2 linked regions of the Alligator mississippiensis genome follow. The protein of the gene in region 2 purifies or fractionates together with the protein of the main gene of each other region. This does not show direct contact. Links are inferred from orthologs where the notes say so. Each region holds a gene or a part of one and is shown on either strand. Other genes may lie near its edges.

Region 1 (3,909 bases), on a different chromosome or scaffold from region 2:
CTTGATTATCTGCTCAAGTCCCTTCCAACCCTACCAACTACGAAACTATGCTGTGCTGCACAAGCTTCTTCACACTGCCCTAGATCACAATTGAAAAAGCCAAGCTCCACCAAGAGTCAAATCTTAACTTAAGTTTTGAAAGGAGCCATTTAGAGTTTATCCAAGAAATAGGTTCTCATTTGTGTTTAGCTTAACTTGCTGGCAGGTGCCACAGCCATAGTATTAAACAGCCTCTTATGGCCCACGCATCAGGTTTACAACTGCATGCTGGAATAACAGTAGCTCAGACATGTTGCCATCTATGCCATCACTTCCTGCTGGTAAACAGCAAGACAATGCTGAGATCATTTCAACTCCTTTCTTTGTTTTTACATACATAGGTTTTATGCATGAAAGGAATGTGATTGAAGTGAGAAGCATTACCACAGCTGTCTATTAACCAGTGTCCAAAAAATAAAAGTGGCTGCATCAAATACAATAAGCTAGTAGCCAAACTGCATTATGATAGTGCTACATTGAGACCCTGGATGAAAACTGTACCATTAGTGTTGTCTCCAAATTCATGAACATGGAAGCCATGTTTTCCATCACTCAAACCTTGAATGCTTCCTGACAGCTTTACTGGTCCACTATCCTTCAAAACAAAAAGAAGAAAATAAAATTTCTAGCTTGTTATTAACTCATTACAGAATTGTAAATAAGCATACAAAGGAGTAAAGCTTTGATTGAGACTTCCTGATTGAGAATGCATTCTTCAGTCCTGTGGTTTGTATAGGACTGCAGCTAATGCAGTATATGGTTGTGTGCTGTCACACCCCCAAGGCAGACTCATTCCATCTAAACCAGTTTTCAAGCTTTTTTTAGACTCCTTGGAAAACTTCTTGTTTTTTTGTTGGGTTTTTTTTTTTTTTTGGGGGGGGGGGGGGGGGGGAGGTTACTACAGAAAAAAAAAAAAAATTCTTGTGGTCTTCCCATGTTCTTTGCACCAGAACAGGTCCAAATGTTTAATATTATAACCCAGAGATTTCAAATGGGAATTTATCATGCACAGCATGTCTGCATACCCAGCAGTGCTAGCTTCCAAAAGGATCAAGTCACCCTAGGGTGCCACAGCATCCTGGTCGAGAATCACTGGTCTGAACACATGACTCTAGCATCAAGATTCAGACTGCAAGTGTGCACACAGCTGCCTTTTGACCCATTTACTTCCATAACCTCAGAGGGTTCCCCCCACCCAAATTTTCTTCTATAGAACTACTGCAGTGTCACAGAATCATAGCAAATTTGGGTTGGAAAGGACTTAAGGAGGTCACGTAGTCCAACCCCCTGCTCAAAACAGGACCATTCCCAACTAGATCCCAGCCAAAGCTTTGTCCACTCGGGACTTAAAAACCTCCAAGAATGTAGAGTCTACAACCTTTGGGTAACCTGTTCCACTGCTTCACTATCCTCCTGGTGAGAAACTTAAGGTTAGATACAAGGAACACCCCTAACCCCCTCACCATTTTCACTGCCCTCCGCTGGACTGTCTCCAATTTATCCACATCGTTTCTGTAGTGGGGGCTCCAAAACTGGACACAGTATTCCAGATGTAGCCTCACCGGTGCCAAACAGAGGGGAACAGGGTTCTTCAGGCAAGTCTGATATCTTTATTCTATTTGAGTTAGTCTAATAAAGGGAGAATAGTCACGTCCCTCAATCTGCTGGCAATGCTCCTACTAATACAGCCTAGTATACCATTAGCCTTCTCTGCAACAAGGTCAGTGTTGCCTCATTCAGCTTATTATCCACTCCAACTCCTAGGTCCTCTTCTAGGAAGCTGCAGCTTAGCTAGTCAGCCCTCATCTTTCACAGCAACACTAAGACCTTTATCAAAGGCCACACCTTTGTACACCATGTGTATACTCTTCAAGATACATCACAAGTTAAACACACTAATGACAAACTCATGTTTGTACTTCCCTTCCGCACTCTCCTAGATTTAACCCAACAAGGATCTTAGTTAAGAGCCCTTAAAAACCCATTTTGGCCTTATCTATCCAAAACCACATGCAGCAGCACCTTACTGCAGCATTCCCCCACACCCCTTACGCACAGCTCACTGCTTTCAAGCCGGGGCAGAGGAGGACGGCTCCACACCCATGACTAGGCACATCAGGCACTGACAGGCTGCTCAGACCACCTGCTGCTACAGCTCCGAGACCACAATTTTCCACACCCTGGCTTCAGGCATTGTGCTAGTCTCTAAACTGAAGCAAGGGTGTAGGGGAGCAGTGCCCACCCTGCCACCCAGCCCAGCAGGCTTAGAATTGTGGCAACAGGGGAGCAGAGTTGGCACTGCTGCCACTTACTGTAGGCTGGCTGGCACCACTGCCTAGGTTGGATCTGGCTCACAGCTATTAGCATTAGTGGCAGCAGCATCAGATTGATAGCAATACTAACCATATTACTTTTTAATCAATAACAATATAATATCAAAGCAAGTGACTGCGGGGCCAGCCCCAGCACCCAGCTCTTTCCTGGCTCCAGCTGCTGCCTCTTCTCCCCTACCACCCCTCACCAGGCAGAGCGGGGATCCCAGGACCCCGGCCCGGGTTAAATCGCGAGAAACGCGGACACACGTGCCCACCCCCTCGCATGACTCAGCACTTTCCAGCCTGACCTATCACCTCCCGCGCAGCTTACGTAACACCCGCCGTCAGCCCCGGGGTGGGAGCGCGGGGTCCAGCCCTTGCCTTCTGCTCGAAATTGACGACGCCGGACACGGGCCCGTCCCCGCGCAGCACACACACAGCCTTCAGCGCCGCCATGTTCCCCCGCGCCAAGCAGCTTAACTACACTGCGAAGAAACGCGCACTGGCGTGTTCCTGCCCCTGCGCCACTCCTTTTATATCCGCCCGGCACCCTCCAGCCAATCACGGTGCTGCTCCTCCCCGCTCGCACCGCCTCCTCTATCCCACCCCTCCCTCGCAGCCAATCAGGAAACAGCAGCCGCGCCCACCCGCCAATCAAAAGGCGGAGCCCTGCTGGCGCACCAATCGGCGGCCGCAACGCTGCTCCTGCTCTGAGGTGCTGGGGAAAGACCTCGTTCTGGATCTTGGGAGGGGGCGAGGTCCTTCCGCCCTTAGCTCCTTCCCTCCGCCTTTTTCGCCCTGGGCGCAGCAGTGCGCATGCGTGAGCATAGCGTGCTGCGTGCGCGTCCCAGGGCTGCAAAAGTACCTGCCTTTGTCTCCTCAGCCCCGAGGGGGATGGTTGCTCATAGCTAGACATGCTCTTGCCACCTTTAGTTCACCCCTGCCAGGTCTGACTAAGCACAGCTCTGCAGGCTTCATCTTGGGCGTTAGGGCTGGGGCAGCCATCCCAAGCTGCAGCACTCCGTGGCTATGACTGTTACCTCTGTTCAAATATGCCACAGATGCTGTGCCTACTCTAACGAACCTGGGCCCACCTCACCTCTCAGGCAACCAGACAGTAGTGAGTAAAGGCGAGTAAGAATTTGCTGGATGGAGGCTGAGGATTATGCAACATGGTTACCGCTGCTCATGTACACAGCAATGCAGCATGCCAGGCACAGGTGTCAAATGCTATTTAAGCCCCAATTCACAGTGCCTATCTGCAGCGACTGTTTGAGCTTCAAATCAGGGAGGCAGAAACAGGAGCAGGATGCCTGAAACCCCAGCTGCTTTTTACTCCAAATGTAACAGCACTGGCTGGGCATTTTCACACGTGCTCCCAACGGGGTGCTGGGTGCTTTTAATGAGCAAGCTGTGCTAATTAAAGATGCCCACGTGCTGCATATATCAGAGGCATAGGATATCCCTGTGCTGAGAAAAACGACAGGGTGCTTTGAACTAAAGCATATTGAACGTGTTCAAAGAGCACTGCTGCCATTTTCTCAGCACAAAGGTA
Region 2 (3,909 bases):
AGTTTTCTATATAGCAGAGCATGGGAAACCTAATCTGTTCATAAGATTAAAACGTTATACCTGAAATTTAGCGCTCTCAAAAAGTTTTCCCCTTAGATTGAAAAGCAAACACTGAAGACTACCAACAGGACAAATTACAGATACAGCTTATGATTATCAATATGTATGATTCAAAGAAACACCTCTTACCAAAATATACTAGAAAATGTGTATTTTTCTAGGTATTTTCATACCCTACAAGAACAAATAAAATATGTACAAATAGTCCATTATTATAACAGCAAACTCAAACTGTCTCATTACCTTCCTGGTTGAAGTCTACTTCTGCGTATAATTTGTGTGCATCTAGTAAGACGATCTCTTAATATCATTCTCGGCCTCTTGAAGCTGTGTGCGTGTCAGTTCAGTCAGTTGCACATCTTGTCAGTGACAAAATACAGATGAAACAAATGAACAGAGAGAAAAAACAGAATTTAACTTTCTTATGAGTAAAACAACATAAGCACAAACATTAGCACTGGTCCTCTAAAAACTTATTAACCCTAAGGATCAATTTGAACAGGCTCCTCTAGAAACTATGAATCAGACCAAAAACTTTGAAACTTAAATGTGCCAAGTATGACTAAAACAGGGTATTAGACAATTATTAAAATTTCTTCTGCTAGATCTGGTGGCTAATCAACAGGACATTGCATTATAATTCAGCAAGTAATTTATGGACCTCCAACCACAGACCACAGTAAACCAACCACATAATAGGGGCAATGTCCTTGACCGCAGGACAACATGGGTGCAGAAAAGTAGCTGCTGCACTTGGGAGTTCAAAGCTGCTCATCAGAACCCTCAAAGCAGGATTCAATAGTCTAGGAAAAGATTGTCATCCTGCCCTTCTAGCTAGGATACAAAAAAAAAAAATATTTATGAACGCTGTAAGACTAATTGGGGGGAAAAGATAAACATTTGTATGAAAGGAAAACAATCTGCTGAAAAAATAATATGAAGAGAACAGTCTATATTATAGTTTCCGAAACTCATCACTACCTGCCTTATACTGGAAAACGTTAAGTTTTCTGCACTTGCCATAGCATAATACAAATCACATAAAACTACGAATCTTACCACTGACTCACCATACACACACTAACTTCATCTAGGAATCCCTAGCTAGGATGGTTAAGCTGCTTCACTGGTTAACCCAGAGGCCAAAACCCGTCTGCATCATACAGGCACACAAAACTCTTCTGTCAAATACCTTCTCTCCTTCCGACATCACTGACTAGGAATTTAAGAGTTCTGTTAACTCTTGTATGTAAAAACTTCTACTATTTCCCATCAAACTGTCCAAAAAAGCACACAATGTCCAGAGATTTAAATTTCTGCTTTTAAGATTAAAAAAAAAAAAGCCAAACAGATCATCCATTCTTCAAATCTAAACATTGTCGAGAATAAGCAGAACATGAGTATGCACTGGAGTTTCAGATAATTTAGAAAAAACACATTAAACATTTGTATTTTATCCAAAAATGGAGTTTTAAAGTATGCAGGTTTCTCTGACGTCAAGAAAAATTGTGTGGGGGCATTTTGTTTTGTTTCTTAATGCAGGCCTTTTTCTGGAATAGTTCATTTCCAAAGAGCAACAGAATTACTGTTATGGCAAAAGAAAGTGAAACGGGCTTGTTTATTTTCATTTTCCAGTCTCAGTTAACTGCAAAAGAGACCTAATGCTCATGAAATGCAAGCGTCAAATACATAAATGCTTTCTCTACTGCTCAACAAATTCACACTTGCTTCAAACTGCTTCTCACAGTTCCATACAGTCGCATTTCAGCAAACAGCTCCCCATTGCCTGTCACTTTCATACATGCAAATGAATTCTGCTAGTCCACATGATTTCTGATTTACAAGCCAGTCTGAATCCCTCAGGTTTGAGTCACAAGTCAGATGTACAAAAAAAGCCATATTAGAACCTTTCATTCCTAACTAAAAACCTGCCTTCGCCAAAGGCAAAGTGAGAAACAGGTCACGGGATACCTTAAGTCCAGCCCTTCCACTACCATTACAAAATAAAAAATGTGGAAGACGGGTGGAAATAAATTCAGAGAACATGAGGCTCTGATCCGTGGCAGAATTCAATCCTGCAACTCCCTGATTACATAAATACCCTTCTCCTTTTTCACCTTCCCCTTGGTGAATAACCCAGCATTTTGAGGAAACAGAAACCGCTAATCAACCCCGAGGGGTGGTTAAAAGCCACAGCCGGCCGTCTGGCCACATGGTAATAAAGGCAGGAGAGCCTGGATAAACACCGCGGCCCCCAACTTTGATTTCTCAGCCCGGGAAAGCCGCATTCCTCCACAGTCCGAGCCCGCGGCTTGGAGGGGGGCGGAGAGAGGAAGGAGGGGCCCGGCCCCTCGTCCTGCACTGAAGGTGGGGGGCCCCGGGCACACACCGGTCTCGGGGCTGGTTGCCTGGCCCGTCGCCCCCACCCCCGCCGCCACACCCTGCACAAATCACTGCGCGACTCCGGCGCGGCTACAGCCTCCGCCGAGGGCGCGGGGCCCGACCCCCCCGCACGAGTGCGCTGCCGCCGGGGAGCGGGGCCCGCGCTCAACTCTTCTCCCAGCCCCCGGGGGGGGAGGAGGGCCGGGCCGGGCCGGGCCGGGCTCGGCTCGCTGGGCCGCTGCCGCGGGGAGACAATAGGCGCGATGACTTCACCCTCCAGCAATGTGAGGAGCCGCCGGCCCCTGCCCCGCGCTCCGCTCCCCTCAGCGGCCCGGGCCCGTTGGCGGAGGGGGCGCCCGTCCAGGTACCTCACCTATGCCGCCGCCGCGGCCACCCCGCTGGGCCCGGCCCCGGGCAGGACTCGCCTGTGTGAGGGCGGGGAGGAGCGGGGCGAGGCGAGGCAGGGCAGGGCCGGGCCGGGCCGGGGGCGGTCGGCGTCTTCCCGAGCTGCGACGCGCTGAGCTCACACGCACTGCGCTGCAAGGCCGCCTCCAACGGCCGCTCAACGCCCGCACCAACGGCCGGGGGCGGGGCGGGGCGGGGCGGGGCCGCGTCACGTCGCGGGCTCGGGGCGTCCCCTCGCCCCTCCCCCCGCGTTCCCCCCTCGCGGCCCAGGCTGGGGATGCCCCGCGCGATGCCCCCGCCCCCGCGCGCGCCCTCGGGGCCGCCGAGCCGGGGAAGCCCGGGAGCGGGCAGCGCTGCTCGAGGCTGGTTAGGAGTCACCCGGCCCGGCTGGTCGTGCCCTTCCTTCGCTTCGTCTTAGTGCTTTACAACAGATGAATAAAGAGCCGGTGTCCGTGGGACGCTTCATGTCCCCGTCAGTCCGGCCCCATTGGAAAACCTGTCGTCCTCTGTCCCGGCTGCCAAACCCCTGATTCACTCCGCCGCTTTCCTTTGTTTCTTTGGCTGTAATTGCCTCTTCTCTGGCTCCAACTTTCAGCCACAAAATTAATCATCTGCGGTTTCCTACACTCCTCAGCTTGCCCCTTCCCCTTCCCCTTCCCCTTGCCCTGCTGCTCCTGTTATCTCTTCTTTTGCTCGTGTACCTTCTTTCATGCCCAGCAGCCGAGCCTATAAGCATGCTGCAGGTTTTTCCTCCCACGGTGGAGAACCTTGCATTTTTCAGCATTGAACACCACCATGTTCTCATCCGCCCACTTCATGAGTCTGTCCAGATCTGCCTGGATCACCCTCCTGTCCTCAGGTGTGGACGCTTTACCCCAGAGTTTGGTGTCATCGGCAAACTTGGCCAGTCCGCTTCTGACACCAATGTCCACATCATTGATGAAGATGTTAAATAGTATAGGCACTAGGACAGAGCCTCGTGGGACCCCACTGGTCACAGCGCACCAAGACAATTGGCTCCTGTCGACCGCCACCCTCTGGGTCCTACCGCGGAGCCAGTTC

What was found.
Region 1: the proteins of RNF19A (region 2) and SOD1 purify together in Homo sapiens (affinity purification with western blotting, with the first as the bait; 3 studies listed by BioGRID). This does not show direct contact. The link is inferred for Alligator mississippiensis from reciprocal best matches to the Homo sapiens genes RNF19A and SOD1.

What each region holds. Positions count from the first base shown.
Region 1 is NC_081824.1:290,751,219-290,755,127, reverse strand, and holds the start of SOD1 (superoxide dismutase [Cu-Zn]), read right to left. Parts: upstream 2,869-3,909; 5' UTR 2,811-2,868; coding exon 2,736-2,810; intron 635-2,735; coding exon 541-634; intron 1-540. UniProt on the Homo sapiens protein: Destroys radicals which are normally produced within the cells and which are toxic to biological systems.
Region 2 is NC_081826.1:38,625,051-38,628,959, reverse strand, and holds the start of RNF19A (E3 ubiquitin-protein ligase RNF19A), read right to left. Parts: upstream 3,005-3,909; 5' UTR 2,816-3,004; intron 2,807-2,815; exon of another isoform or gene 2,357-2,806; intron 420-2,356; exon of another isoform or gene 304-419; intron 1-303. UniProt on the Homo sapiens protein: E3 ubiquitin-protein ligase which accepts ubiquitin from E2 ubiquitin-conjugating enzymes UBE2L3 and UBE2L6 in the form of a thioester and then directly transfers the ubiquitin to targeted substrates, such as SNCAIP or CASR.